Linked DNA regions of Ovis aries. The protein of the gene in region 1 purifies or fractionates together with the protein of each later gene. This does not show direct contact. Links are inferred from orthologs where the notes say so. Each region holds a gene or a part of one and is shown on either strand. Other genes may lie near its edges.

The links.
Region 2: the proteins of SRP9 (region 1) and signal recognition particle subunit SRP54 purify together in Homo sapiens (co-immunoprecipitation; 4 studies listed by BioGRID and IntAct, counting the BioPlex papers as one, with this or other methods). This does not show direct contact. The link is inferred for Ovis aries from reciprocal best matches to the Homo sapiens genes SRP9 and SRP54.
Region 3: the proteins of SRP9 (region 1) and LARP7 purify together in Homo sapiens (affinity purification with mass spectrometry; 3 studies listed by BioGRID and IntAct, with this or other methods). This does not show direct contact. The link is inferred for Ovis aries from reciprocal best matches to the Homo sapiens genes SRP9 and LARP7.

Annotation. Positions count from the first base shown.
Region 1 is NC_056065.1:28,083,697-28,094,335, reverse strand, and holds the start of SRP9 (signal recognition particle 9 kDa protein), read right to left. Parts: upstream 5,678-10,639; 5' UTR 5,559-5,677; coding exon 5,487-5,558; exon of another isoform or gene 5,305-5,486; intron 5,229-5,304; exon of another isoform or gene 5,170-5,228; intron 870-5,169; coding exon 801-869; intron 1-800. UniProt on the Homo sapiens protein: Component of the signal recognition particle (SRP) complex, a ribonucleoprotein complex that mediates the cotranslational targeting of secretory and membrane proteins to the endoplasmic reticulum (ER).
Region 2 is NC_056071.1:43,049,001-43,059,557, reverse strand, and holds the start of signal recognition particle subunit SRP54, read right to left. Parts: upstream 5,724-10,557; 5' UTR 5,501-5,723; intron 191-5,500; exon of another isoform or gene 54-190; intron 1-53. Other genes in the region: uncharacterized protein LOC101118645, read left to right, coding at 6,214-6,310. UniProt on the Homo sapiens protein: Component of the signal recognition particle (SRP) complex, a ribonucleoprotein complex that mediates the cotranslational targeting of secretory and membrane proteins to the endoplasmic reticulum (ER).
Region 3 is NC_056059.1:13,370,664-13,380,502, forward strand, and holds the end of LARP7 (la-related protein 7), read right to left. Parts: coding exon 9,793-9,839; intron 6,518-9,792; coding exon of another isoform or gene 6,509-6,517; exon of another isoform or gene 6,497-6,508; coding exon 6,337-6,496; intron 6,083-6,336; coding exon 5,991-6,082; intron 3,576-5,990; exon of another isoform or gene 2,739-3,575; coding exon of another isoform or gene 2,466-2,738; exon of another isoform or gene 2,362-2,465; intron 1,642-2,361; coding exon 1,561-1,641; 3' UTR 1,293-1,560; downstream 1-1,292. Other genes in the region: non-histone chromosomal protein HMG-17-like, read left to right, coding at 2,466-2,738. UniProt on the Homo sapiens protein: RNA-binding protein that specifically binds distinct small nuclear RNA (snRNAs) and regulates their processing and function.

The DNA.
Region 1 (10,639 bases):
ATGAAACAAACAGAGAAAAAGAAAAACAAGATAAAAGGAAGCCACAGATGCCAAAACATTTCTACAAGAATTGGTTTCCTGTTTCAAAAGCAGCCAGGAGGGGGACTTCCCTGGTGGTCCAGTGGCTAAGACTCTGCGTTCCCAATGCAGGGGGCCCAGGTTCGACCCCTGATCCGGGAACTAGATCCCACATGCTGCAACTAAGAATCCGAATTCCACAATTAAGGATCTTGCATGTCTCAATGAAGACCTGGTGCAGCCAAATAAATATTAAAAATATTAAAAGCAGCCAGGAGGTCAAGCAAGATATGAACTGCTGGGTTTGAAAATGAAGGGGCTGCTGCTGAGCCCTCACTGAGAGCAGGTTCAAGGAAAGACTTCATGTAGAAACCACATGGCAGAGGGGTAAGACATAAATGGGGTGTGAGGAAGCGACAGGAATGAGCAGACAGGGAACGAGAGAAACGCAACTACAGAGCCTATAACTTCTGTTCAAATACCACTTACTCCTCACACATCTACAAGGAAACCTTTACCCCTGTATCTATGTTTGGTCTCTATGTTCCTCTTGTTTGGCTGTTATTAAACTATACCTGACAAACTGTATTAATGAAGCAAGTTGAATTATCTTTCCAAGTGCCTACAAAAATAGCTTCAAGAACAAGGCTCTTGTCTTGGGAATGAAACACAAAATAAGCATTCTAATGGGTGACCTGCATAAATTCTATGTAAATAATTTCAAACACATGATTAACTCAAGCAAATCTGAAAGTATGCAACAAATAAAAATGTATACTTACAACTAAATCATCTGTTACTTTAATACACAAACTCCCATCAGAATGCCTATATTTGAGAACCACACGGGCCTGAAATAAAAATACATATTTAGAAACAGTGAAGTCAGAAGACATTTCTCATAAATAATTTAGTCTTCAAGTGAGCTAAAATAAAATAGATCCTTTTAGAATTAATAGCCAAAATATCTAAAGGCACCTTTACTGTAAACTTATCATGACTGAAATGAGGGGAAACAGCATTTTGTGCATTCCTATTGCTACAATATTTTTAAGACTTAAAAGAAAGTCAGGTATTTTATTTTCAGCCACTTTAAAAAGATGTACTGAAAATTCCCAAGGCACACCCATATTCAGAGAATGTCTAAGACTGGTTTGGCATTTCTTGCCAGTAAGACTATGTATGAAGGGTATTCACAGCATGCTACCTCAAAAGTATACCACTTCAGCTAAAGGAAAGTTTTGAGCTGAAGGTAATTAGTTCTCTGCCCTTTCTGATCAAAAGCAGGACATAAATTAAGCTTTGTAAAGATTACCTAAGTTCCCAATTGTAAAGGTGTTTCTTCTCCCTGGGAAAAGAGAAGAAGGCTTGTTCCCTACCTTACCAGACAACTCTAATATTGCCTATACATTCCCTGGTCACCTTCTCAGAACGTACCCCCTCCCAGAAGCCCCAAATCTCTTTTCCTCTGTCCAACCTCCCTCCCATACTTTCCCACCCTTAAGATGGTATATAGGTCCCAAATTCCTCCTCTTTGTAAACTTCTATGTTAAGTGTAAAGTCTTTCTATTTATTAAACTGTCTTTTGTCAGTTTAATTTGCAGAGCCCCAGTTATGAAACCTAAGAGAGTAAAGGAGGTTTTCTTCTCCCCTATAATACCCACACACCTAGCCACAGAGGACTGATAGGAAAAAGGGCGGGGGGGAGTAGAAATGGCTAGTAAAATTCAAACCCATTTTCCAGGAAAGAGCACTGCAGTTGCAGTTCATACTTTCCATTTCCCCATGACTCTCAAGAGGTGGACTCAGACTAACTACTCAGCAAAATCGTATCTTTCTCATGATGGCACGACATGAGACACAATTTTCCACATCTAGAATAACTCCTACATTGAGTTAGGAGTGCCATGCTGTGCCATGCTACACAGCACTTTTGCTATTGGGTGTTCTACAGTTAGGAAGCCAAGAAAATGATTTAGATATTAGTACATTCCAATAAAAGATAACAGCTCCCAATAGAGTTTACAACCTCCATGAACATTATTTTTATTTCTTTAAATGATGGATGCAAAACAGTGTACTACAGCAGAGTCAAGTTCCTTCTTAATAAAAATATAATAAACAACTCTAGTTTAGCTTTAGCTAGCTGTTTTAAAAATTGCTAAGTATCTACCAGACAAAACAGGAACATATATTTAAAATGGCTCCAATGCAGCACAGGACCCTCAAGATAATTCTGGAAACTAGATAAAAAGGGCTATTAGAGCTTTTTCTACAGCTTTTCTCATTATGCCTTCTACTCTCCTGGGTTTGCAAATTAAAAAAGGTCATATCATCCTGAGATTTGTCTTGGTGAGGGAGGAAAGGGAACTCAACAAGCACTTAAGTAGGTGTAAGTATCTTTAGACTACCTAATAAGATTCTACTTATTGAGCCAGTAAATTCAGTTTCACATATTAAAAAAAATTAGTCCTCTGGAAACAAAAGGAAACCAACTTAAAAAAGTGCTAAGCATGACAACTATGTAAAGTTTTAACTCCTGTTTAAAAGAATACTTAATGGCTTCATTAGGAGAAATGAGTTAAAAAACTCTTTGCGGTCCCATGGACTGTAGCCTGCCGGGCTCCTATGTCCACAGGATTCTCCAGGCAAGGATACTGGAGTGGGCTGCCATGCCTTCCTCCAGGGGATCTGGAACCCGCTAAGTCTCCTGTATTGGCAGGCGAGTTCTTCACCACCAGCGCCACCTGGGAAGCCCCAATCCCCTTTCTATTGGTAAATTAGAAAGCACCTACGTTACCATGTCAGACACCACTAAGAAGAAAAAGAAGTCAAGGTTCTTGCTTTTTTAGTAATTCAACCAACTTAAATAATCAAAACATAAGACAACATGAATTAAGTCCTAGAAAGACATATACACATAAAATGCTAAAGGAGGAAACAAGTAATTTAGATTGGGGGAAGGGAAAGTGTAAAAAGAATTTATGGAAATGGCTGCAGAAATGCATTTTTTGTTTTCTTTCTTTTAGGGAAGAAGTTAGGAGAAAGGCTGAAGCAGCAGTCTGAATGAAGATATGATGCATCCTGTAGCTTTCTGAGGCTAGCTAGGGCTGAGGATGGTGGAAATGGTGGGAGACAAAGCCAACAAGACTGGAGAGAGGGTCAGACTGGGGCCTGGAAGGTGGGACTTTTACCAGCAATCAGTGAAGAACTAGTTTTAAAACAGGAAACTGGGAATTCAATTTTTGTGTCTGAGATAGCTGCAGTATGTATGAGAATGAAGAAGGAATTTTAAAAGCAGGCAGACAAAGAGGTTATTACATGGTCTAGCAATAATACCATCTTTACTTAGAGCGGATGCAATGGAGAAAGGTAAAAGGTGATAAATATGATCAAGAGGAAGAGAAGACAAAGAATTCTGTAAAACAGATCCCAAAGAGTTCTGACAAAATTTCTTTTCTTCTTTAGTTTCAGCAGTATAGACTGGTAGAAACAGCATGAACACAGTGTTTAGAGATGTGGGTTCAAATTTTAGCCTAATCTCTTAATGATCACCAGGCAAATCATTTAATGTATCTAAGACTGTTCATTCAACTACCTCAAGGGATTGTCAACTGTATACATGGAAGGTATTCAATACAACTGTCAGTCAAGCTCTCTTCCCACTCATCCCTTTACCAGCCTATCAAAAAAAAATCAGTTAAAACCCAGTGAAGGTTATCATGAAAAGGCACAAGTTTTTAGGTCACTGGAATTTTCTGAAAAGAACTCAGGTTCTCCCTCCCCTGTCTATTCTACACATGCTTTGTTCATAGCAATGCTCAATAATAATCATTTTATTTTCATTTTCCCTATAACTATGACCACATTCTTATAGTATTATTACTCTTACTGTGGATTTGTATATTCTTTACTATCTTTCCAAATATTAGTTTACACTGTGGGTACTTCTACAAAAGTCCTGTATAGTCCTCACGGTACACTGCTTAAAGAAAACAAATGGTCCTACGAACAAAATCAACCAAATGGAGGAGCCAGAAATTGTGTCATAAACAAAGTACTCAATTTCACAAGTATCTAATTCATTTTATTATTTATTACTATTACATCACTTTATTGCAAAGAATGGAACTAAGACTGTTTCTGGCTTGTTACTTATCTAGGTCTAAAAAGCTAGCAGGGCTTTTCAATATTTCAAATAATATTTAGATGACAATAAAAACCAAGAGGAAGAAAAATCAAGACCCAAATGCTAAATTCTTGTCCTTGCAACTTCTCTGGTTACTAACACACACACGGATCCCTGTAATTCATTCACGGCCCTGGTAAAATTATGATAAGCCGATGTCAGAGGTTAGCTTATTATAATTTTATGGGGGCCATGAATGAATTACAGGGATCCATGTGTGTGTGTTACTCGCTCACTTTGTGTCCGACTCTTTGTGACCCCATGGACTCTAGTCCCACCAGGCTCCTCTGTCTGGAATTCTCCAGGCAAGAATACTGGAGTGGGTTGCCATTCCCTTTTCCAAGGGATCTACTTGACCCAGGGATCAAACACGAGTCTCCTGCATTGCAGGCAGATTCTTTACTGTCTGAGCCTCCAATGAAGGCCACAGGGATCCACGGACCCCCTAAAACTGTTTACAAACATTTATGTGTTAAGTGCATTCTCCTACTCTTAAAGGGCACTAACCTCCAAAATATTAAGAACCACTAATCTGCGGGAGGTAGATGCCTCCAAATGAGGGTCTTTGATGCTTCTGAACTGCGGTGTTGGAGAAGACTCTTGGGAGAAGACTCTTGAGAGTCCCTTGAACTGTAAGGAGATCCAACCAGTCCATCCTAAAGGAAATCAGTCCTGAATATTCACTGGAAGGACTGATGCTGAAACTCCAATACTTTGGCCACCGGATGCGAAGAACTGACTCATTTGAAAAGACTCTGATGCTGGGAAAGACCTGGGAAAGGCGGGAGAAGGGGACGACAGAGGATGAGATGGTTGGATGGCATCACCGACTCGATGGACACTGAGTCTGAGTAAGCTCCGGGAGTTGGTGATGGACAGGGAAGCTTAGCGTGGTGCAGTCCATAGTGTCGCAAAGAGTCGGACACGACTAAGCGACTGAACTGAAACTGAACTGAAGCGCCACAGGAAGCCGAAGCTGCAGAGGGGAGGAGCCCTGCCCTTAGAGACACGTAAACCAACGGTAGGGAAGCTCAGGGATTGTAGGCGGGGGAAGGCTTCTTAGAGCCCTGACTTGACCCTGATTTTGCTGGTTTCAGGCTTCACTGGGCCCTTCTTAAGAGAAGAGACGAAAAGAACAATCGGACTTCGCGCGGAGTCCGTCTCTCTTCACACACAGCACCTCCTAGGATGCTGCAGAAGCTCCGGAGGCCGAGCGGACGCCAGAGAAGACATCCTGACCCGAGCTAGGACAGAGACACTGGCTCCGCCTGCGATTTACCTTCATTGGGTCGGCGAGGTAGAGTTTCTCCGCTGCGCGACTGAACTCCTCCCAAGTCTGGTACTGCGGCATCGTGGGACCGCGGCAGAAGGACAGAAAGAGGCACGGCTGTGGACCGGAGGCGGCGCAGCACGGCCCACCTACCTCCCTAACTCCCACAGCCGGCTACCGAGACAGGGGCCCAGAAGCTCAAGGATGGCGGCGCCGCCTCGCACCAACGCCTCGCTCCATTGGTCAGCCTGGATCGTTCTTGCCCAATGGGAAGGAGGGATGTTGCATAGGAGGCGGAGCCCCAAGCGTGTGAGTCTGGGAGAGGGTCCGAAGAGGTGGAGAGAGGAGAGACGATGGAGGTTGCCACAGCGCCCCTTGTAGGACTGGAGGAGGATCTGTCCCGCTGTCCTTCTGGCTGGACGACAACGATAAAGCCCAGGTTTCTTCAGCAAAGATAGAGCGGCTTAGTGATAAGCGCTGGAGCTGTCTCGCTTACAGCTTAGTAAAAGGCGAGACAAAAACAGAAGAGTGCAATGGAGAGCTTTCTATGATAGACATCTGTGTCTAGAGGACGCTAACGGGGATGACACAAGTTGAATCTTGAGAAACATGACGGGTGTTAAACAGGTGGGCAGGGCAGGAGGCCTATTTTAGATCCGTAGTGTATTTAATGTGGGCATCCCCTGGAGGAGGGCATGGCTGCTGCTGCTGCTGCTGCTGCTAAGTCGCTTCAGTCGTATCCGACTCTGTGCGATCCCATAGACGGCAGCCCACCAGGCTCCCCCGTCCCTGGGATTCTCCAGGCAAGACTACTGGAGTGGGGTGCCATTGCCTTCTCCGGAGGGCATGGCAACCCACTCCAGTGTTCTTGCCTGCAGAATCGCATGGACAGAATAGCCATAGAGTTGCAAAGAGTCAGATAGGACCGAAGCGACTTAGGACGCAAGCACGTATTTGGGGCACGGGGGAAGAATGGGAAGAAATCATATCACTTAAGCCGGAAGAAATTTGAACTTTGTTCTCCAGGCTATGGAGTGAGGTAGAAGGGTATTTTTCTTTAATCAAGTTGAAGTATATTTTATGTATAGTAAAACATCAGTTTTAAGGCTTTCCTGGCGGCTCAGTGGTAAAGAATCCGCCTGCCAATGCAGAAGATACAGCTTCTATCCCTGGTCCCGGGAAGATCTCACATGCCGGTGAGCCACTAAGCCCCTGCCCCACAACTACTGAGACTGCGCCCTAGAGCTTGTGCGCTAAAACAAGAGAAGCCACCACAGTTAGAAGCCCCAAGCACCACAAGGAAACAAAGAGCAATGCCCCGCCCGCCAGAACTTGAGAAAGCCGTCGCAGAGCAAGGAAGACCCAGTACAGCCAAAAATAAATAAATACAATTATAGAAAGTAAGTTATACTAAACACATCGGCCCTGGACTTTGCTCTCCATTGTTCAGCAAGTGGAGAGCCGGCAGATGTTAATCACAACAGGACGCGGTATGATTAATTTTTATTTTTAGAACACGTCACTAGTGGCTGTAGGAAAGCTGAATTGGTGAAGTCCAGCCTGTGCAAGGTCAAAAGTGAAAGCTTTTATTCTTTCACCTAAGTTGGTTACCTCCTATGATTGTTTCCGTGCCCTTGCTTCCCATTCAATCTCATTCCCACCATAGTACCTTCTACTCTGTCCCCACCTCAACTCTCAAATGAAGTTGCTTTCACAAGGTCACTAACTGCTCTCAGAGTCACTAGTGACCTTCATATTGCCCAGTCCAGCTGACAATCCTTTATTTTTTTTTAATTTTTAAAATATATTCATCTATATTTATTTCTTTATTTCCTTGCACTGGGTCTTCCTTGCGGCACGTGGCATCTCTTTCTCTGATCAGGGATGGAGGCTGGGCCCCCTGCATTGGGAGTACGGAGTCTTAGCCACTGGACCACCAGGGAAGTCCCTCAATCCTTTCTTGACTAGATCATTCAACCGCATCTGAGGGCACATGCCACTCTTTCATCCTTGAGATTTCCCAGCCGCTTGGTTTTTTTTACTCCATCCTTCCTTGCTCCTTCTTCTGCCTCTTTGGTTTTTCCCTCTCTGGCTCTGTCCTAGCCTCCTCCACTCCCTTTGCCCTTCAACACTGGGTCCTGAGGTATCATACTTTGATTTCACCCTCTGAGTTTTTCCTGGGCAATATTTGGGTTTTCACTTTCGCCTCTATGCTGCTTAGTGCAGGTTCTTCCGTGAGCTTCAGATTCATATCCAAATGCCTTCCAGGCCTTGGGCTAACTCCAGAGTTCAATTTCGGGAGACGAAAACAATTTTTCAGCAAGTTGAAGCAATTTGTAAGCCATAAATATGATGCGTCCTTTTTGACTTATTTTACTATTGCCATTTGGCAAATTATTAGCCACTCATACACCATATTTGACTGCCAGGAATTCAATAACTTTTAAGGGTCAGTGTGTTGGGCAAAATCCTTATAAGCTAAAGAGGTAAGGGGTAGCGATAATAAGGCAAATTCACCCATACCGATAATTAAAGACAGGAGCGTGGCACAGTGCAGGAGAGAGAAGTCATCTCACAGGATCTAGTGCAGGACAGAGCCTTTCCACAAGATTTAGTGGTTCTTCCTCCCTCTTTCCTCTAAGGAGGAAGGTCTGTTGTTGTTGTTAATTCTTTCCCAGAAGCTTTTTGTCCTTCTTTGTTCTCCTCGGTTGTCTTCTAAAAGCTGGCAGCATAGGGTGTGTAGACCGTTGTAGGAGTAGGTTCTTAAGTGGGTTCTTACATTTGCAATCATAACAGTCCCCAGTGCTGCTGGCATGTTGGGAACTAAAGGTCATTATGTTGATTTTCATACATTAAGCATTTGTGGAACTCTGGATACGCCGGGACTCAAAGAAGTCCCAGTTCTCCTGTGCCTTCCTAGGTCTCATGAATTCAGTGCAGCACAGTTAGAGTGAAAGAGAAGCCAACAGAAAAACCGGTTTGCCCAGGAGCTGGATCCAGCATGGGGAGGGAAGGAAACCTGAGAGCGCCCCGACGGGGCCGGGCTGCTTTGGCGCGGTGTCCAGTGGAGGGCAGTGGTGAGCAGATGGTCCCACGGAGACGGATCCCTGAGAGCTGACTTCAGCCTTTTCATGATCCCTATGGAGTGCGGGAAGAAATATCAACAACCTCAGATATGCAGATGACACCACCCTTATGGCAGAAAGTGAAGAGGAGCTAAAAAGCCTCTTGATGAAAGAGGAGAGTGAAAAAGTTGGCTTAAAGCTCAACGTTCAGAAAACGAAGATCATGGCATCGGTCCCATCACTTCATGGGAAATAGATAGGGAAACAGTGGAAACAGTGTCAGACTTTATTTTTTGGGGCTCCAAAATCACTGCAGATGGTGACTGCAGCCATGAAATTAAAAGACGCTTGCTCCTTAGAAGGAAAGTTATGACCAACCTAGGTAGCATATTCAAAAGCAGAGACATTACTTTGCCAACAAAGGTCCATCTAGTCAAGGCTATGGTTTTTCCAGTGGTCATGTATGGATGTGAGAGTTGGACTGTAAAGAAAGCTGAGCACCGAAGAATTGATGCTTTTGAACTGTGGTGTTGGAGAAGACTCTTGAGAGTCCCTTGGACTGCAGGGAGATCCAATCAGTCCATTCTGAAGGAGATCAGCCCTGGGATTTCTTTGGAAGGAATGATGCTACAACTGAAACTCCAGTACTTTGGCCCCCTCATGTGAAGAGTTGGCTCATGGGAAAAGACTCTGATGGTGGGAGGGATTGGGGGCAGGAGGAGAAGGGGACGACAGAGGATGAGATGGCTGGATGGCATCACAGACTCGATGGACGTGAGTCTGAGTGAACTCCGGGAGTTGGTGATGGACAGGGAGGCCTGGCGTGCTGCGATTCATGGGGTCGCAAAGAGTGGGACACGACTGAGCGATTGGACTGGACTGAACTGAACTGATGGAGTGCGTACGCCTACCTTACCTGAGGCGGGTATTGGTGCGTTTTGTTTATCGTTTGCTCAGTCTCAACTTTTCCTTTCCAGAAAGAGCCTTAGCTCTTACTTAACTGTCAGGAACTTCCAACCCAGTTTAATTAATTACTGATTGAGCACCTCTTCTGTGTCAGTCACCCTGCCAGGCATTCTACAGTGAAAACAAAGATGTGCGTGAGCAGCTTGAATGCTAATGTGAGCAGAGCAGGGTGTAGGTATAAGGCGAGTTTATAAATGATCAAGACTGGAGGCAGAAACAAGCGTTTATGGGGATTCAAGCAGGTCTCAGCATCCCCTCCTCCCAGGTGTTTGGGGATGGGGCGGGTGGTCTGAAGGTAAAGACAAGAATGTGACTGTGTGAAGCCCAGAACTGACTCCCAGGACCCACATCCCACACTGCCCAGTTCTGTGGATCAGAAGCCCAGAGCTGCCTAGGAACAGTGAGGGTCACCTTGAGCCTGGGGGGACAGGGTGGGAAAGGGAGGGAGGGAGGGACACAGGCCAAGATAGAAGGCAGGTGGAGATAGAAGTCACCCCAAGAAACAAAGCCCATTTCCAGAGCCCAGCTCAAGGGGGCTCAGAGACCAAAGGTACTAGCACCCTCAAGCCACGCCCACTGACAAACCCGCCCCCCCAGGCAGATGACAGAGTTCCTGAGGCTGTCCCTCAGTGTCCTCCTTACACTCTGTTCTTAAAATGCTAACATGCCGCGGTCTGGGCAGGTAATGATCCTTCTGTTGCTGTTGTGTTGTGCTTCGTCACTCAGCCATGCTGACTCCTTGTGATCCCATGGACTGTAACCCACCAGACTCCTCCATTCATGGGGTTTTTCAGGCAGGAGTACTGGAGTGGGTTATCATTCTCTCCTCCAACAGATGCTCCCAATTCAGGGATGGGAACCACATCTTCTACACTGGCAGGCGGATTCTTTACCGCTGAGCCAATGATTCCTTTAAGGTGAAACAGATTTCAAGTAGAATGAACATACCTCAAAAACCAACAGGGGGATAAAGCCTTGTCTTGTCCGGCCGTGCTGACAAGAGAGACTAGGCTCCGATTGAGTTGTGGGGATCAGAAAGGCCACCATCCATGCTGCCTCCTGTGGGAGAAGCTGGGTCAGGCCAGGACAGATGCTGCCCAACTGATGCCCCAGAGACCAGAGGGCAATGAC
Region 2 (10,557 bases), on another chromosome or scaffold:
CAAGTTTGGGGTGCCCTAGGCAAGGCAGGCACAGGGCCAAGTATCATACTTACCTGCTACAGTGTGAAGTACTGGAAAGAGCATGGGCTTTGGAGTCTGACAGACTTGGATTCAAATCCCAGCTCTGTTACATACTGGCTGGGTTACTTTGGGCAAGTTACTTAATCTCTCTGAGCCTCACATTCCTCACCTGCAAAATGGAGATAATACCATTATCAAGGTAGTTACCCTGAAAGGCTGTTGTGAGGATTAAATGAGACAGTACGTATAAAACTGCCTGCAAGTGCACAGTATGTTAACTGTTATTTTCCTTCCTTTCTTGATGATGTCAGTTGGCTTTCCCTATAATGCTGAGGTGTGAATAAACTGGAAATTTTCTCAACACTACTAAAGTGTCTGTCCCACTACCCAGGAATCACTCCCCCAGAATCTTTTAACATTTAGTGCCAATTTCATGTACTTGGTTATTATTCAACGGAAGCTGGAATGCCCAAGCAGACATTTTTCTCTGCATAAACAATTAAAAGCAGTCCTGCCAGAACCCTGCCCAATCTGGGATTATATAAACAGACTCTAATGATTAGATATTCTAAATCTTATTATAATGAAAACATCTATTAAAAAATTATTCTACCTACTAGGCTCCTCTGTCCTTGAAATTCTACAGGCAAAAATAAAAAAGTTTTTCTATGCCCTAGTAAATGACTAACTTATTGGATCAATATTACACTAAAGAACTAAACATATAAATATACTATTATTAGTAAATATCTTTAGAAAAATGATTTCTACATTATATGCTTTCCTGTAAAATACTCAATAGCCCAAACCAGTATATGCTTTCCTGATTATAATATTAAACACATATATATTTTTTAAATTCTACATAGCATATGTATTTATAGTCTATAACCACAGAAAAGTAAACTATCTAACAAAGCAACCTATTGGTATGTTACTTGGTAAAATGATTATATCTGAATAACTAATACAAGTTAATGCCTTTCAAATTTAGGAATATTTTTCATTCTGAATATACTCAGTCCTCTAAAGAAATAATTCATTTTTTAGTTTTGTGATTACAAGAGGATACACATTCATTATATTCAAACATTACAGAAACATTAAAGGTACAAATACAGTTTTCCTAATCCTCTTTTTGTCCTTTGATAACCAGCAACAATAATTTGGCATACACTCCTATAGACTTTTTAATGCATTATAATTTAGGCAAGTTTTCACAAGAATTATGGTTTGGGAAGGAGTGAAGAGGAAAGCAGAAATGAGGGAAAATCTTTTGCAAATATCTTTGCTAATGCTAGAAATATACTTAAAGGTAAAAGCCAGATTACAAAACTGCACATCATGTATTTTGTTTAAACAAATATCCAAAAAACACATTACCCAGGAGGGAAATGTAAATCAAAGGCACAATCAGATACCACTTGACCCAGACTGAGATAACTGTAATAATAACAAGTTTTGGTGAGAATGCGTAGAAATCGGAACTCTCATACACTGCTAGTGGGAACGTAAAATGGTACAGCCCTTTAGAAAACAGTTTGGCGATTCCTCAAAATTTTAAATGCACAAAGTTACTGTATGACCCAGCAATTCCACTCCTCGGTACATCCGAGAAAAAGGAAGATACACATCTACACAAAGAATTATACTTAAATGGTCACTAGAAGCATTATTCACACTAGCCAAAAAGTGAAGGGGGAAAAAAAGCCAAATATCCCTCAACTGATGAGTGGATAAATAAAAATGTGGCATACCCACCAAATGGAATATTATTTGATAATCAAAAGAGATGAAGTACTGATACACATCACAACCTGAATGAATCTTGGAAGCATTGTGCTAAATGAAAGAAACTAGTGACAAAAGAATATATGATTTCACTTACATAAAATGTCCAGAAGAGAAAAACCTATAAAGAAAAGTGGATTAATGGTTGCTTAGGGTTTGGGAATTAGGGGGAAATGAGAAGTATCAGTGGGCATGGGGTTTCTTTCTGGAGTGATGAAAATGTTCTAAAATTGATGGCAGTGATGGCTGTGCATGCTCAGTTGCGTCTGACTCTTTGCAACCCCGTGCACTGCAGCCCGCCAGGCTCCTCCGTCCATGGGATTCTCCAGGCAAGAATACTGGAGTGGGTTGCCAAGCCCTCCTCCAGGGGATCTTCCCCAGGGATGGAACCTGCGTCTCTTAAGTCTCCTCCATTGGCAGGCGGTTTCTTTACCACTAGCGCCACGTGGGAAGCCCTGAATGGTTGCACAACTGTGCAAATACACTAAAGACCACTGAACTGTACCCTTTTCTATTGTAGTAAAGCTGCTAGAAAATAATAACATTTGTCATCTTTAGATGGTGAATAGTAATTTAAATTTTCTAATACATTCCTATAATTTTCAAATTGTTGGTAACGACTATGAGAATTATTTTTTGTTAAGAGGAAAGTTATTTTTCAAAGAGCTCTTTGTGAGAATTAGAATGATATTATTCTAGAGGTTGAGACAGAATTACCCCTTGTATTTAGTCAGTCAGTCACTCATTATACACCTACTATGTGCTCCAGGAATTGCTCCAGCATGAGCAAAGTTCTAACTTCAAATCAATAAATTACATCGTTAACACAGACAAGACTCCTCTGTTAACTTCAGAAAATAAATTAGGTATCATGCCACCACTGACTTCTCTGTCTTATTTTACACCAATCAATATGAGGAAATAGTCTCTTCAATACAATGATTCTGTTTTCAAATTTTAAGACAACTTTAAAACTCATTTTAACACTAAAGATAAAACCACTGCAACACTTCATGGCTTAATAGCAGAAAAGGTATACCAAAAATTCAATTAGCAACAATAGCTAATAATTCAAAAACACTGGGAATCAATTCTCTAAGATGCTTTCTGGCTGTCAAGTCAATCATAAAAAAGAATCTTTATGTAAACTGTTACCAGGAGGAAAATTAAAACAAACTCAAAAGAACTCCTTGGAAATAGTTTGCCTTGAAGCTAAAAAGAACACAGCCTGAAAATATGGATGAGGAGGGATGAGGCATATGCTCAAGTAATGGGCAATTTCAATGGCATTCAGCTAACACCTGTCAGCTAAAAATGAAGTATTCAATCAGAATCTCCAGGGATGGTAACATCAGAAGATTATGGGGGAACTGGCCTCATCTAAATTCTTGATTAGGAGAGCCAAACAAGGCACCTATGTTTTGAAACACTTTACTGGCTATACTGATGTGCAGCCAGGGTTAATAATCACTGCATGAAGCAACACTCACTAAGGGAAACAAGAGAATGAAAAAATCTGTTCTATAATTTAAAAATTAGAGACAATGTAACAAAGCCATTGAAGGGAGAAAAACTGGAGAGTAAGGAGACTACATACACTAAACATACTCCAAAAGTCTATTCAAGAGATGTGAGCTTGAACTAAGAACGAACACAAAACAGAGGGACAGGGCTCAAGTTAGGGGTTAATCATAAAGCAAAATCTATAGGACCTAATGATCAAATGGTTATGGAGAATGAAGGAGAAACAGGCAAAAATGACTGAGGGCCCTAGTTTGAATAACCAGGTGGTTAGTGATGCCATTAACCAATGAATGGAACGCAAAAAAGAGAAGCTGATTTGAAAGTTAAAGAGTTAATAGAGGCAAGATTCAAGGGGCTTTAAAGGCTATTTACAATATTCTACTACTAGGTTGGATAGTTCGGAGAAGGCAATGGCACCCCACTCCAGTACTCTTGCCTGGAAAATCCCATGGACGGAGGAGCCTGGAAGGCTGCAGTCCATGGGGTCGCTGAGGGTCGGACACGACTGAGCAACTTCACTTTTATGCATTGGAGAAGGAAATGGCAACCCACTCCAGTGTTCTTGCCTAGAGAATCCCAGGGACGGGGGAGCCTGGTGGGCTGCCGTCTATGGGGTCGCACAGAGTCAGACACGACTGAAGCGACTTAGCAGCAGCAGCAGCAGGTTGGATAGTTAGTGTTCACTGTATTATTCTTTTAAAATTGAACAAATACCACAAAATTAAACTAGAATCCCAAGGTCAAAACTCTGAGATAAACTAGGAAAACGAGTGGGATATATGTAATAAAAAGGGGAACAAAAAGAAGGTGGAGTGAACTTGGTTTTAGACCTATTGAATTTGCAGAAACTAAAATACTATTTCATGAAACAGGGGCTAGAGAAAAAGATGTGGAAATGGTTGGCATACAACAATAATACCATGGAAGTAGATGAGAACTCTGAGAGAGAGCTTATGGAATAAGGCGATGGTGAACCACCAACTAAAAGAAGTCCACTGAGACTTCGAGAATAATCAGAAGGAGAGAAGCTTTTACCAATTCCCTTTGCAAAGGCATACAGAAGAAGATCAATTGAAAAAAAAATTAAAAGCTACCATTTATGATTATCTTACTGTATTCCAGCGGCAGGTCCAGAATTTCCAGATAGGTGGAGTTACAGGAGTAATCAATCTCTTTGAAGGAGGGCTTGAAGATGCTTTTGCACAGGACTTTATATTTAGCTTTCTACTAACTGACCAGATCAAAAAATCAAGGGAAAGAAGTTTGAAGGAAATAATTCCCCTCCACTTTGGCACCACCACTGCTGTATTCTAGGCACGGTACCAAACATGTTACCTAATCTTCCATTCTCAAACTAAGGTAGATGAGGAAACTGAGGCTAGATTGGAATATCAACTTGCTCAAGGTCACAAATCTTCTAAGGAGCAGAGCACATCATCTTTGTTCCCATAGCTCTCATGGCTCTTTACACCTTACTAGAATTTCTCATTACTCATCTTGATTATAATGTATATTTATGTGTCTCTGTATCACTGTACTGTTAGGTCCTCAATGCCAGGGTTCAAGTCATTCATTTCTGTATCCTTATAGCTAAGAAAGAGTAAATATTTTGTTGAATGAAGCATATGAAAGAACTATGTGAGAACAGCATCAACAAGGTCAACAGGGGAGAAAGAGTTTCAAGAAACGGCTAGTAGCACCAGATGCTACGGACAGAGCCACCAGTATATCTTAGGTCGTCAACGGCACTGAACTGATATCCCTTAATCATTTTTGAAAGCCTACTACAGGCGGGACACTTTGTTAATTAGACACAAGTTAACGTGGAAAAATAAAATCTGGTACAAGTCAACAGATTTTCGGAGTAGCAGCCACATCTAAATTCTTGATCAGGACAGCAAAACAGAGTCAGGGCTGAAATCGCTTACGTTTAATTTGGCTCTGGCAAATCTGAAGACAATTTTAAAGGGTCACAGCGCATCTTTTAACAAAACTTCTGGTGAGGGACAAGAGATGAAAATGGGCCAGCGCACCACTGTCTCGACGACGAAAGCTGGTGGCCCAAGCAGCCGAGTCCCTCCGGAGTGTCTACCCCGCTGAGCAGGACTGGGGCTGCCCCCAGCTGCCAGTCGGTAGTCTGGGGCGGGAAAAAGCAGACACTTACCGCAAAAGGCACCGCTACCGCCGTGGCCCGAAGGGGCCCGGGAGACCTTCGCGAAGCCCCACGCCGGGGGAGGAAACCAGGGAACGCCGGGATCAGACAGACAGGTGCGACCCCACAGCCCGACTTCCCAACCTGGATAAACTAGGGTTCCAGCGCCCAGTACCGCAACGCCAACTCCCACCAGCTGGAAGCCCGACGACTGCCACCGAACCTTCCGCCCAATGAGGAAACGTCACCACTCAGCGTAGTCCAGCCTTTCAAGAAGGGGATACACTTCCGCTTCCGGGGCACTCGGCGCGTGTCTACAGTGTGTTTACCGAGAGTGTATTGAGATGTGTCTTTGCCTTCATTGGCCTTTGACGTTCGTTTCCTATCACTTAATATCTGCGGCATTAAAGTTAGTAAGAAGATAGGAGGCTTTCTAGGGATGCGATCTCAGGAAAGATGTCCAGCCTCCAGGAGCCACCTTAAGAAAAATGACTTGGCTGAGCACCACCAGCTAAGAGGGGAATTATGAAAGGTGGGGGTGGGGGGAGGGATGTCTCAGAGTACGGAGTCCCAGGAGCACGTGAGAACACCAAGTACGAGGCGGGGCTTAGACTTTGGTAGCCGAGGGAGGCGGGTTCCACGCCGGGTCTAATCGGGTGTCTGAACCGGCCTCTACCTGCGCGTGCGCAGTGCGAACCTTCCGCTGCTCTGCTTTCTTCTCCAACATGGAATTCCGCGCCGCGCGGCTCGCAGTACTGCAACTGCTCCGTACGGTGGCTCCGGCAGACCTCCCAGCGCTTCTGCAGTGGATGCGAACTACCCGTAAGCGATCAGAGCCAGAGTCAGACAGTTGGGGCAAGGATATGCGGTGGGCGCTGACCTTGGGGACCTAGGGTGAGGCCAGAAGTCTTCCATGGGGTAGCGGTGCTGGTCTCTGCTCTGCTACCTGGCGGGTTGACCCGGGCATATCGCAAGCATCGGCAGAGTAAGAGTCCAGTTTAGGACTGGGTGCAGAAAGACCCGGCTCTGGGTTTTATGATTCCGCTACAGACTTAGGCAGCTAGAGCCGCATAGTGTCTACTCTCATTCCTAAAGGAAAAAAAGGTGGGAGGAGTGGGTTAGCCCACCTCCCCATTATTCTCTCAAATTTGGGGCGACCAGTAGGATACTACCTGAAAAAGCCCTTTGCGATATAAGTTTTAAACTGTAGAACTGGAAGTTTTTTACCCTGTAGGCAAAGTCACATGTAGCTAATCTCAATGTGTGTGTTAGTCGCTCAGTCGTGACTCTTTGCGAGCCCCATGAATTGTGTAGCCCACCAGGCTCCTCTGTCCATGGGATTCTCCAGGCAAGAATACTGGAGTGGGTTGCCATTTCCTTTTCCAGGGGATCTTCCTGACCCAGGGATTGAACCCGTGTCTCCTGCATTGCAGGCAGATTCTTTACCATCAGCTTCAGGGAAGTCGCAACTAGTCTTAATAGTCCATACATTTAAAGGAGTTGTTCCAGGGTGGGGAGAGAGAGAAAGAGGGGAGGGGAAGACTTTGGTTTGAATAATATTAATAGTAATACTAAAAAAGCACACGTTAGAATTGAAATGTGGTAATTAGGTCGAGTTAGTGAAGAATGGAGGTAGATCTATATTTTAGCAAAGTGAAACCTGGTGAAAGCACAAAAAAATAGGATATTCCTCGTTTGAGAGCTCCTCCAAACCATGCTCTCCTTCTGTACTCCTAAACGTTGATTCCATGTTTATTTTCAGCCAGACATGAAATATTCCTGTTTGCTGATGACTCCCAGTTTTAGACTTTCAGGCATGACATTCTCCCGGGAACTTCTCTCTCTTTGTGTTGTTAGATTCAATAATCATTTAGGTGTTATCATTATTGTTATTACTGTTACACGTTTTGGAAGATCATTTTAGCTAAGATGCCAAAATAAAATTACTTTGGACATCTGCTAGTGAGATTTAGCCTGGAAAGTAGAGAAAACCAAAGAGGTAGCTTCATATTTTTACACACAGACAACATTCAAGATTGTTGTTCAGTCGCTCAGTCGTGTCTGACTCTTTGGGACCCTATGGACTGCAGCAGGCAGGCTTCCCTGTCCTTCACCATCTCCCGGAGCTTACTGAAACTCATGTCCATTCAGTCAGTGATGCCATCCAACCATCTCGTCCTCTGTCGTTCCCTTCTCCTCCTGCCTTCAATTCTTCCCAGCACCAGGGTCTTTTCTAATGAGTTGGATCTTTGCATCAGGTGGGTAAAGTATTGGAGCTGCAGCTTCAGCATCAGTCTTTCTAATGAATATTCAGGATTGATTTCCTTTAGGAGTAACTGGTTTGATCTCCTTGCAGTCCAAGGGACTCTCAAGAGTCCTCTCCAACACCACAGTTCAAAAGCATCAATTCTTTGACATTCAGTCTTCTTTATGAAGAAGATTCAAAATTGGTATTTTTTAATATAAGATCTTTTATTCCAAAATCCCCTGGATGCCTGCAAAATTGCCATCTACTGCCTGTTTCTGGCAATTGCACAATTACTAAAATATCCTTGCTGTCAGGATTTTTCAGTTTTGTGGAACCATTTGTAATCTAAATCTCCAATTTTAAAGGCATCAGCTGAGACTCCATTTTTCCGAAATCACTGAAAGTGCGTTTTGGATGATGATTTTGTAAACAAGAAGACCCAACACTGTTGCCTAAAGAATATGTTTCTACTTTTTCTAACACCATGTTCTGTCTTTCTCCAGCAGATCCTGTAGTCAGAGGTGCTCAAGCAGTTTGTTAAACAATTTAAAAAAACAAACTGAGTTTCTGAAAAATATTTATTACAATGAATATTTTAAGAAATAAGTATCACTTATTCTTGCCTGAAGAATCCCATGAACAGAGGAGCCTGGCGGGCTATTGTCCATGGGGTCACAAAGAGTCAGACACAACTAAGCGACCGTACTTTTTTTCTTTAGCTTAAGACGAAGGAGTATGTTTTAATATAAATCTTAAAAGGTAGTGTAATTTATTGGTAAACCTTTTTTAGGTGGTAATATAATATATACATAATATAAAATTTACCATTTTCAAGTGTACAGTTCAATGACATGAAATACATTTACATTGTACAACCATCATCATTATTGCCTCCAGAACTGAAACTCATTGTGTACTTTTTTTTATTAAATACAGCACAAAAGATTCTTCCAATCAGCAATTTTTCATTTCCCTAATTCCCTTCTTCCAGGGGAAAAAAATTATTGCATGATATCTTACTTATATGATATTTGCTTAGACCTTTGTTAATTATAACTCTGCTTGAATTTTTATACCATTTAGTGGAATAGCAAGAGTTAATAATAGGCTTTATGATTTTGGTTTTGAGCTTCATAGAATTTATTGAAAATTAAAAAAACTACATATTGCTAACAAGTAAAATCACAATAATTTTAAATACACAGAAGAAAGAATAATACTGTTGGTCTCTGAAGAAATAGTGGAATTATCATACCTAGACCTGGGGTCATTTGGAATCAAGCTGATAGAACCAGAATCGTAGACCAGGACAGAGATAAGCACATGTCAACGTCTGATATAAACTGAAGATGTAGAAAAAATAAAGATAGGCCCTGTATTTACTTTAGTACAGCTTATACCAAAGGTCTAGAAACAAATGATCACTAGTATAGGAGGGATGAAAAATACTTCCCCTGTGACTCAGACAGTAAAGCGTCTGCCTACAATGCGGGAGACCCAGGTTCAATCCCTGGGTCTGGAAGATCCTCTGGTGAAGGAAATGGCAACACACTCTAGTACTCTTGCCTGGAAAATCCCATGGATGGAGGAGCCTGGTAGGCTGCAGTCCATGGGGTCGCAAAGAGTCAGACACAACTGAGCAACTTCACTTCACTTCACTTCATAGGAGGGATGAAACAAAGTTTAGGGACAAAGCACGCAAAGACAGCTCCCGCTGCAAATAAATAAGAGTAAAAAAATATAACAGGACCTCAGTGCATTGACTCTAATCTCATGGTAGAGCATATGTTCTTTTCTACTTCTTTATATACATACTACTTCGTGTATGTATATGAAATGGACTCTTGGCTTAGCTTTCAACATATAGGAGAGTAACTACAATCTATTAAGGGAACTGAGAGCCAGAACTATATGTGCGGTCCCCACTAGGCATATTAACAATTGCATTTTGTTAACAGTTGTCTGTTAACACTATTCTGAAGCCTCTGAATTTTTCCTGAATATGCGTATACAAATGAGGATGTCAGACCAACAACGTGTAAAAGTTTCTATTGGGTCAAGTTACAAATACATACACGACCATGTGTAAAATAGATAGCTAGTGGGAAGTTACTATAGCACAGGGGCTCAGCCCTGTGCTCTGTGATGACATAGAGGGGTGGAATGCAGGGTGGGGTGGGAGGGAGGGTCAAGAAGGAGGGGATATTGTATACTCAACAGTGATTCATATTGTTGTATGGCAGAAACCAACACAAAATTGTAAGGCAATTATCCTCTAATTAAAAATAAATTTTTAAAAAGTTACAAAGGATAGAAAAGTGAGGTATACTATAAGGAAATTAATAAAATCATCAAGAAAATATTTTAATATTTAAGGAAGATAATTGTAGATGAATAGAAGCTTTTAGAAGGTTCTCTGCTTCCTGTATTTTAAATACATCTTCATTGAACAGGCTGCTTAGCAGCAGTTAGAAAGTTGTTAGAGGTTCTTTGAAATTCCTACTAAATCTAAAAAGCAAAGGCTGGGATCTAGTTACATTTGTCAAACAGCATACTATTCCAGTTCTACATTGTATTACCACTGAGGAAGTAGCCACATAACTTACAGATTTTCCAACCTTTATTAAAACATTATGAATTTGTGAAAGTTATCAAGTATATGAGGTAAATAGATTGTTTTTTCCAGAAATTAAAAAGATACACTGGGCAAATGCATACCTCTTAAACAAAATTTTTCTGTCAAGTAAAAATAATTGTACTTTTCAGCACATTTATTGTGTATTGAAAATGGCCACGATATATAAAAATGATAATATGAACA
Region 3 (9,839 bases), on another chromosome or scaffold:
TACTGCTGGAATATAAGCACCATGAGAGAGGGATCTTTGACTTACTTCACTAATGCCTCCCAAGTGCTACAATAGTGTCTTGATTAGGCTTCCCTGGTGGCTCAGACGGTAAAGTGCCTACAATGTGGGAGACCCGGCTTTGATCCCTGGATCAGGAAGATCCTCTGGAGAAGGAAATGGCAACCCACTCCAGTACTCTTGCCTGAAAAATCCCATAGATGGAGAAGCCTGGTAGGCTACAGTCTATGGGGTCGCAAAGAGTCGGACACGACTGAGTGACTTCACTTTCTTTCTATCTTGTTTTAAAGACTGCCAAGGGGAGAATTCCTGAAAGTTTACTTGATAACCTCTCCAAAGTCACCTTATGACAGCCCTCCTTGAAATTAACTGAATCCTTGAGACATACACCTAGTATCGATTATTCTGGATCAACCAGAGCATATTTAGTCAGAATCCTTATAAGAGCGTTTAGCAAGAATTTACTGATCATTCTTTTTCTTCATGAGTGTGTACGCTAGCTCTTCTTCATGGGGAGAGAAAAACTAGTGAGTCGGTGGCAACCTCCCAGCATGCCTATTTTTGGCAGTAAGCTGCTGCTACCCTAACCTGACGCAGCCAATCTCTTCAAATCTCTGGCCCATAGGAGTGAACAGATTCTTGATTCTTTGCCTCCCACAATGCATCCAAGGGACATCCAAGTTAATCCGCCACTGCTGGACAAAGCTGATGGGACTAGAAATGGGTTTGTAGCCCAAGGAAATGAATCCCAAGGTCATCCAGAGTACTTTCCTGATATCCTGATGAGAGATTAAGATGCCAGTCATGTACATCCCTGGACATTCAGTTCTAGGAAGGCCTTCAACACTCACTTCTGTGATTTTCCTGAATAAAATGATACACTTCAATTATACCAAAGGCTGGTTCCTAAAAGATATTCTTTTCTTTGTTTATAGCATCTGGTACATTTTATTTTGTCTAATCAAAATAAAACGTTTAACTTCATTTATGAAAACAAACTTAGTATGTTTAAAACATTTAAATTGCAAACAGTTCATATGGTCAGTTCAATGGAAGCTCGGACAGGCAAAGTACAATAAACAGAATGAAATATCACACACACGCCTCTGTATAAATCAACATGAAAGGATATCTAAGATATTTCAAATGGAAAAAGCAAGTTACAAAATAAAAAGCACAATGAGCATTCTCTGTTAAACACTTCCTCCAAGCTATTTAGATAGTATTATTTTTGCATATATGTTGTTTTTGTAATATAAAAACAGCAAACGTAATGATAATTTCAAACACATTTATTTTCTAAATCACTTTGAGGTTGATTTGTGTCATATAATTTCAACAAACGCAAGGTTTACAGAACAACTGTGGTAAACAATGTAACTGTCTCCAGGAAAAGTCGTATTTACAAATTGAAGAAAAACTATTTAATTAAATGTAGCTTTTAGAAAAACATTATGCATTACCACCATAAAAAAAAAAAGATATTCCTAAGAATAGCTCTAGTATCCAGTGAAATCTGAAGAGGTAAACAAAAAATTTTTTTCAGTCATATTCAGAAAATCTAATGTGTTGACTTGCTTGTTGAGTCTTTTCGAGTCTAATCTTTTCAGCTTTGGTGATTAACTACAGAGAAAAAAATCAGAAATTAGAAGGAACTGGATACCTAAAAACAGAAAGATAATTATGACTAGAAAAATCTCACAACTATTAGCTTGAATAAAATATTTTAAAAAGGGGAAGAGGAAAACAAATGAGATAATTAAGCTCAGGTCAAATCAGTTACAGAGAGAACTACCTAAGTTAGAGCTTATTAAATGTAGATATTAAATCTTTGAATTATCTAAGATCCTTGCATTTTAGTTCTAGACTACTAAAATTAATTTCAATTAAAAATAACCAATAATTTGGTTATTATTTAATTAATAAATAACCATAATTCCACCAACGTGGACCTACTATTCAGCACAGGGAATGCTCCTCAGTATTCTGTAATAACCTAAATGGGAAAAGGATCTGAAAAAGAACACATGTATATGTGTAGTAACTGAATCACTCTGCTATACACCTGAAACTAATACAACACTGTTAATCACCAATGTGTCAATATAAAATTAAAATTTTTTTTTTGACATTTTAGGAGGGTTGAAGACCAATCTTTGTTTCATCATGTCCCTTGGGGTTTGAGTATTAAGACACTTTGCTTACAAATTTGAGAAATATTCTAAATAAGGATCTGCTATTAAAAGTACTTATTATTACACTCTTACATAAATAATCAAAAATTTTACAGAAGGCAAATGAAATTATGCAGAATAAAGAAGACCATTTAAAGTGCCCCAAAGCGGAGCAGTGTGAAGAAGAGGCGAGAGCGACCCCTGGATCGACTTAAAGCCCGCGCCCCACTGCATCCCCGTGTCCAGCGCCTCCGTCCCACCGCCGCAGCCACCATGCCCAAGAGAAAGGCTGAAGGGGATGCTAAAGGAGATAAAGCCAAGGTGAAGGACGAACCACAGAGAAGATCTGCAAGGTTATCTGCTAAACCTGATCCTCCAAAGCCAGAGCCCAAGCCTAAAAAGGCCCCTGCAAAGAAGGGAGAGAAGGTACCTAAAGGGAAAAAGGGGAAAGCCGATGCTGGCAAGGACGGGAATAACCCTGCAGAAAACAGAGACGCCAAAACAGACCAGGCACAGAAAGCTGAAGGTGCTGGAGATGCCAAGTGAAGTGTGTGCATTTTTGATAACTGTGTACTTCTGGTGACTATACAGTTTGAAATACTATTTTTTATCAAGTTTTATAAAAATGCAGAATTTTGTTTTACTTTTTTTTTTTTTTAAGCTATGTTGTTAGCACACAGAACACTTCATTGTTGTTTTTTTGGGGAAGGGCACATCACTAACAGAATGTCTCAGAAGCTGAATTGACGTGGGGGGAAAATACCTTTCCCGCCTAGTTTGAGAGACTTCCTCTTGGTTCCCAGGAAGGAGGGATTCCTTGATGTTGACACACATTAGCCACCTTGGCACAAACGCCTTGTGGTGTGGGAAAACTAAAATTTAGTTTTTATGTCCTCTTCTCCCTCTCCACCTCAGCACAGACTTGACTCCACTAAACCCAGAGACCTGTTGGAACCTGAACCCCGTGCCCCCCCAAAATTGATGACCAGTATGTCAGGCAATCTGGACTTTCTAGTGTCACCGTTGAGATGGCGTCCTTCAAAAGAGCAGCAGTTCCTTTTTTTAGACTGCGGCTCCTCAGAGTGATACTTCTGCCATTTTCATTTCCATTTCCTGAAAGTCAGGGTCGGCTTGTGAAAAGTTGTTAAGCAACATGCTAAATGTGAAATGTCAACCCTCACTCTAAACTTTCCCTGTTCAGAGCATCACATGAAGATTTCACTGGGTTTTTATAGTGGCTTTCTGATTTTGGTAGTCCATTGAAGAAGGGAGTTTGAAAGTTGTATACTGTTAACGATTGTCTGCCCATGTCCTGCCTGAAATACCATGATTGTTTATGAAAAGTATCTTTAATAAAGCTGGATACAGTTAAAAAAAAAAAAAGTGCCCAAAAGCTTTCTTGATAGAAAAACTAAAGTAGCATATTTAGCTTTGGAGGAAATGAAAATCTTATTCTCTTATAAACACAGATTCTAATGACTATTCATTAAAATAGTTTTTTTAAGCTGGTGATAAGTGGTCATTGGCAGGAAGTCACCATTATTTATTTTTCAGTTTTTTAATTGTGGTAAGTTTTTAGGAAGTCGCTTTCAGGTTAAACTAAAAGCAAACTGATCAGTGGAGTCAAAACTTAAGTGTTTAAAACTTACAACCATATGCTTTTCGCAAATTATATGAATTCTATCTTTATCTGTTTAATAGCTGACCTGTCAGTACTATAAAGGAAAGACGAGTTCGGTAAAAACAAGAAAAAATTCAAATGTGCTTTGCAAGCTAAAGAAAAATGAGAAAAGCCTCACTGTGTCTCCAAAACCTGTTATCTAATTTTACTAAAATGCTTAATGTGATAGGGTACACTAGAAAGATTTGGTTGAGGTAGAATGAATGAGACCCCTTATGGCAGGTCTTTCCTTCATCTTACTGACCTTTTGTTACAGGTCTTAATTTATCTGCACTTGATTTTTATGTCAAAATATCATACATAGAAAACAAAGTATCTCTTTATCAATTGTCTTTTAATTCTTTACAAACTGAATAGAGCTTAGAAAACTGTCCCCAGTAGCCCTCTCCTCTACAAAGTGAAAAGAATAACCAGGATTTTCTATCAGTATTTTTCTTTCACTCAAGTATACTACTGTAGAAATGGTAGAATGGCATGTCAGTGAGGCATTTACACTATACTTTTGACTGTTAATATTTTCTAAAACACTTATTTTCCATTACTAACACGCTTGCTTGCTTCCTGTATCCCAGCTACACTGGCCTCCCAGTCTGACAATCTCCCTTCAAGACCTCTGTGCTTTCTGCTGCCTCAGAGTGTCAAGCGGAGCGCCTAAATTCTCCTGGCTTGTCTGCTCACTTCCCTAAGGTCTGCACTACGGTCACCTCTGTAGAGAACTTCCCAAGGAACCTCATCTGATGTACCTCATTATACTTTTTGAGTTTTCTGCACAGCACTGGTCATCATCTGACCTATATTAACTCTAAGCCTCATGAAAAAAGGAGACCTTGTTACTCATGGCTAGACACTCAGTTGTTAAACAGTGGCTAACACAAACCAATACCAAAAATGTTAATTAAATGAATTAACAAAGTAGTAAACGAATAACCTTCTCTCCTCTGAGGAGCTAGGTTGTGTGGAACCTTTTTTCATTTTATGAAATGAGCAAACTAGTACTTTCACTGCTTTAGCTAGAATTCTATACTCTCAGATGTCTGCCTAACATACAAATCATGCTAAAAGCCTGATCCTATTCATTAACACATGAGAACTCTTCAACTCAACGACAGAACTGCTCACTGGTTTGAACCCAATTTACAACATTCTCTGTCAGTGTATATTTCCTTGTCTCAAATTTAATGTATATAGATGGAGTCTTTCTTAAATACGAAACTGCTTTTTTTCTAGTTTTAAAAATACACACAATTTAAATGATATTTTACACCAATTAGAAGGAAAAATATTATTTAACAAAGTGATTTCATTTCAATTGTGAGTTCTGGATTAATGATTTTAACATTTAAGTTAATCAAAGCTTAAGTAGGCTTTGAAATTAACACCTCATAGACCTGAAAGAGTCCTTAAAGAGGAAGGAGGTCTCTCTATCTCAACAAATTCAGTCTGCAGTCATGGAAAGAGAATTAACAAAGATCAGTAGAAAACCTCCTCCCAAGTCATTTTACATTCCAATGAATCCTAGGAGATGCAAGACTGATGAAAAAAACTTGATTTTCCAATTATAAAAAAAAGAATTTTATAAATAGGAACAATTAACAAACTCAGAACATAGGAAGTATGATTTTTCATAAAATAATGCACATACATCTTTTTGGATTTTACTGATTTTTACAGTACACATTTAGAAATTGATAATTATTATATGCCCTATTTTGCTCTAAGCACTTTAAGATGTACTAACTTTAACACGTATAATATTTTTAAAAAGAATAAACAGCTTACTAGCAACAATAAACATCTGATAAATTCTTAAAAGTAAAATTACTGAGAGACTTGCTTTAAATTATTATTTTTTTCTATAAATTATTTAATGTACTAATTTAAGCGTGTTTATTTCCCCTGTCAGCTATTCTAGAGAAAAAGGAATAAAGCTTACCATTGCTATTGGGAATGATATGCATAGTTTCTCAATCTTATCTGTAGAGACTCATATCTTTAAAAACTACACTCTAAATACACTGTGCTTTCTACCATTAAGACAATCTTTAAATAATCATTTACCACCAAATTATAAAAGAAAACAGCCAGAAATTAAAATTACAAAGTATGAACTGATTTACCTTCTCAGTGCCTCTTTTCTTTTCACGAGGTTGATTAAGTTTGGCCTGCCTATCTACCAAAATCTTCTGCCAATACCTCTGTTCATGATCACCTTTAAACAAACAAACAAACACAAAAATGCTTATCACTGAACATAAGGATATAAATGAAGAAACACATCCATAGCTTTGTATTTTCAGTAGAACCAGAATAGTTGTCTGAGTTATTTAATGCCTTTTTTGCACATATTAGTGTAAAGAAACCTCCCCCAGTTTCATTTGCCAAACTTGGAAATTATAAAACAGTCACCCTAAAATAAGCATTGTTAAAATAAAAAAAAAAAGAGGAGGTTCTATAAAGTTTTACCAGAAAGAATCTCTAGTTTCCAGCAGTGTTTCTTTTTAATTTCCGAATGTGCAGTTACTACTGCTTGAGCATCCTCAGGAGTTTTAAATCTAGCATGGCATTCTGTATCTCCTTCCAGCAAATCAACATAAACAACTTCTGAGATTGCTGCCAAAGTATCCTGCATTAGAATTTAGAAGGGCTTAAAATAAATAATAAAAACATTTCATTATAATTCTAAAATTAATCCAGTGTAGGATCTATTATAAAATTAAGCCATGTATCATTTCAAATTAGGAGTAACTGATTCATTCCAGTTAGCTTCTAAGATATATACAAATGGAGAATTCCTTGGCAGTCTAGTGGTTAGGACTCTTCACTCTCACTTCCAAGGGTACAGGCTCAACTCCTGGTCTGGGAGCTAAGATCCCATAAGCTAATAAGAAAGACGCCCAAAACAGACCCCAAACCAAAAACCAAACCACCACCAAAAAAAAGACCTCAAAACAAATGCTCTTAGGAATGGACTTGGACAAAGCTGAGGACCAATTTAACATCAACTCTAACAACTGTTTTTCATTTAACAGTATCTTTAAAGTTGTACTAGATGGGAATGTGACATAAGGGAAAAGATCTATAGTACAGAATGTACAAATACTTTCCTCTACCCCTCAAATTTAGAAGAAGGGCTCCATGTCTGGGTGTAGTTAGAGAGTAAAATGAAAAACAAAACTGAAATGGCATTAAGGAAGAAGTTGTGTTTCCACTTACCTGGATAGAATCACTTAGGACTTAAAATATATGCAAACTTTTTATAACCACTTGTGAAAAATGTTTCAAGGAGCACAGAAAGATGTTTGGTTCTCAAGTTGTCTATGGGAATACAGAGAGGGCCAGAGGTTTTACTCTGATAAAACATCTAAGCAACCTCTTAGAGTCACGTAGCAATGAGAAGTTTTACCTATAAGGCCTGCTGTGAGGGCAAATTAACAAGATTCCTGCATTCCCAAGTCATTTTTTTTTTCACAGCAGGTTCTACAGTGTAAGCAAGGTAATTATGCAGGAATGTTACACTAATTCTTAATTCATCAACTTCCATTCATAAAGCTAAAGTAACTGAAGGTTCCCAACTGAAAGAAAAAAAAAAAAAGGCAAGCCCTACCTACCTCAACCCCTTGAGTTTAAACCTAAAATTTCAAGATGCAACTGATTTAGACTATTTATTTATTAAAAGAAATATTTATTTGGCCACGCCTCTTGGCTCGTGGGATCTTAGTTCCCCAACCAGGGACTGAACCCAAGTCTTTCACAGTGAGAACTTGGAATCCTAACTACTGGACCACCAGAGGATTCCCTAGATTACATTTTGATGTTGAATTTTAAAATTCTGAATTACAGAAAGAACTCAGCAATACCTGGAAATATTACTTCATAAGAAAAGTGCCTTAGTTAATAATAAAGAATAAGTAGTAAAAATCCATGCTTATATATTAATACAAGCCAGGTACTAAGTCTTAATTTATCCAACACTTAAAACACTGCTTATCACAAAATAGACACTTTATAGGCAAATTCAATTTAAAAACTGAAAACTGGAGAGAAATATACTTGCCAATTCTTCCCATTTCTCTATCTAGTTAATGAGTATTTAATTTAAACACAAAGAAGGAAATATAAAGTATTAAGTGATGAAATCTGAATGTGTTTACTGGTAGTAGTGAGAGTTTTGTAACTGATATATTTACTAAATATCCATTATAATGTCAGGCTAATCTCCAGATTTAAAACCCTTCTTAGAATGACAAATTAACCTGGCTATCACATGGGCAATTCACAGACAGCAGTAAGAATCATAGCTCAGTTTTTGTTCCAGCAAAATGTAAGTACTTACCTGGTTAATAGCATTTATTCTATGATTTTGGTGATCAAAAATGAAGAATTTGTAATTGACATAATTACCATTTAGATAATAAAATCTCTCTGATAAATATAATTAAACCTATTCCAGTTATTCAAAATAACAAACTTTGAGTAATTTTTCTTTGAAAACGTGGGCCATCTGACTAACCACCGCAGCATTTACATCTTCAATTTTTTAATCCTTTTTATTGCAAAGTCTATTTTGCTACCAAATTTTGAAGTGCAAGCTAGTATATCAATTTGGGATTAACAAAATTCCTCATCAATACTATAGTGAGAGTCTAGATTTACGTGTTAGTGACAGATACAGGATTTTAAGGGATAGGGTTTCAGATAAACAGTGCTTACAGATGGTTACAATGAGCAACTTCAATGGTTACAGAAGTTAAAAAATGTTTACTGGTAACAGTCTCTGGAAAACCAAAACAACATACCATATGGTGCTGACCTCAGCTAAGAATTATAAATACACTTGCTATGTTACAGAACACATTACTTAGATTAAAAAGAAAGTGTTTCACTTAAATGGATGAGAAAATTTAAAAGTAAATAGGGTACTCCCACTAAAAAGAGTATGGGAATAACAAATATTGCCATGCTAGTACAAAATGCTGTAGGGGATAAACTGTATAAAATGAAAAAAGACGATGAGAACTGCAGGGATAGGAACTTCAAGTGTAAACTATAAATTCTGGAGATTGTCAAAATACTTTACACTTTCCTGTAATTGTTTCAAAAATTTTAAAATAATCGGTGTGGACTGAAAATACCAAAAAAACTTTTAGGAATAAAATTTTTAAAAGCTCTTCTTGCCAAAAACAACAATCCTGCATTTTTTTCAGGAGAAAATTTCAATTCTCAAGAGGATTCATTAACAGACAAAAATTAAGTCTACAGTAAGTGAAAAATATGCACACTATCCCTTTTGCTTCAAAATAGTTCCGATTTTTTTTTTAAGTCACAAAATCTTTTAGGAATTTATTGAAAACTAAAAGCTCTAATGAAAACAAACTACAAATTCTCTAGTTTGCTCCAAATAAGAAAACAGCAAATAGTTACAGTTTTATTTTAGAAACAATCACAAACCAACTTTAATGTTAGTTCAATCTTTATGAAAGTTTTATCCCTAAGTATTGCTCCAAAATCTAGTTTCTCTGGATTTTTTCTGAAAAACAAAAAAGGTTCCCTGAGAAAACAAATATTGGGAAAAAGCATTTAACTTAATCTCCTCTTTTGCTATAATAACTACAGTAGGGTTTCATACTTTTCCTATATACAACCATTGGGGCACCAATAAAAATAAGCACAAATTGCTGTTTTCCTATAAAGGATTAAACTAAATTCAGTATAAATTTGATTCAGTGAGGAATTTCAGGTATCAGAATTTGCTTCAAGTCAGACTTAAAGGGTTATTATGGAATCAAACCCAATAAGCAGTTTACCACAAGAGAACAAATTCTAATTTGATTTGCCTTATTTTCCATATTCAAAACACTTTCACAGGGGGGTTTTTACGAAGAAAGAGAAACAACTATCATGGGGATTCAAAAGCATTACCTTGACTTGTTTCCTGCCAGGTAAAGGCTCGGTGCTAATGATCTTCA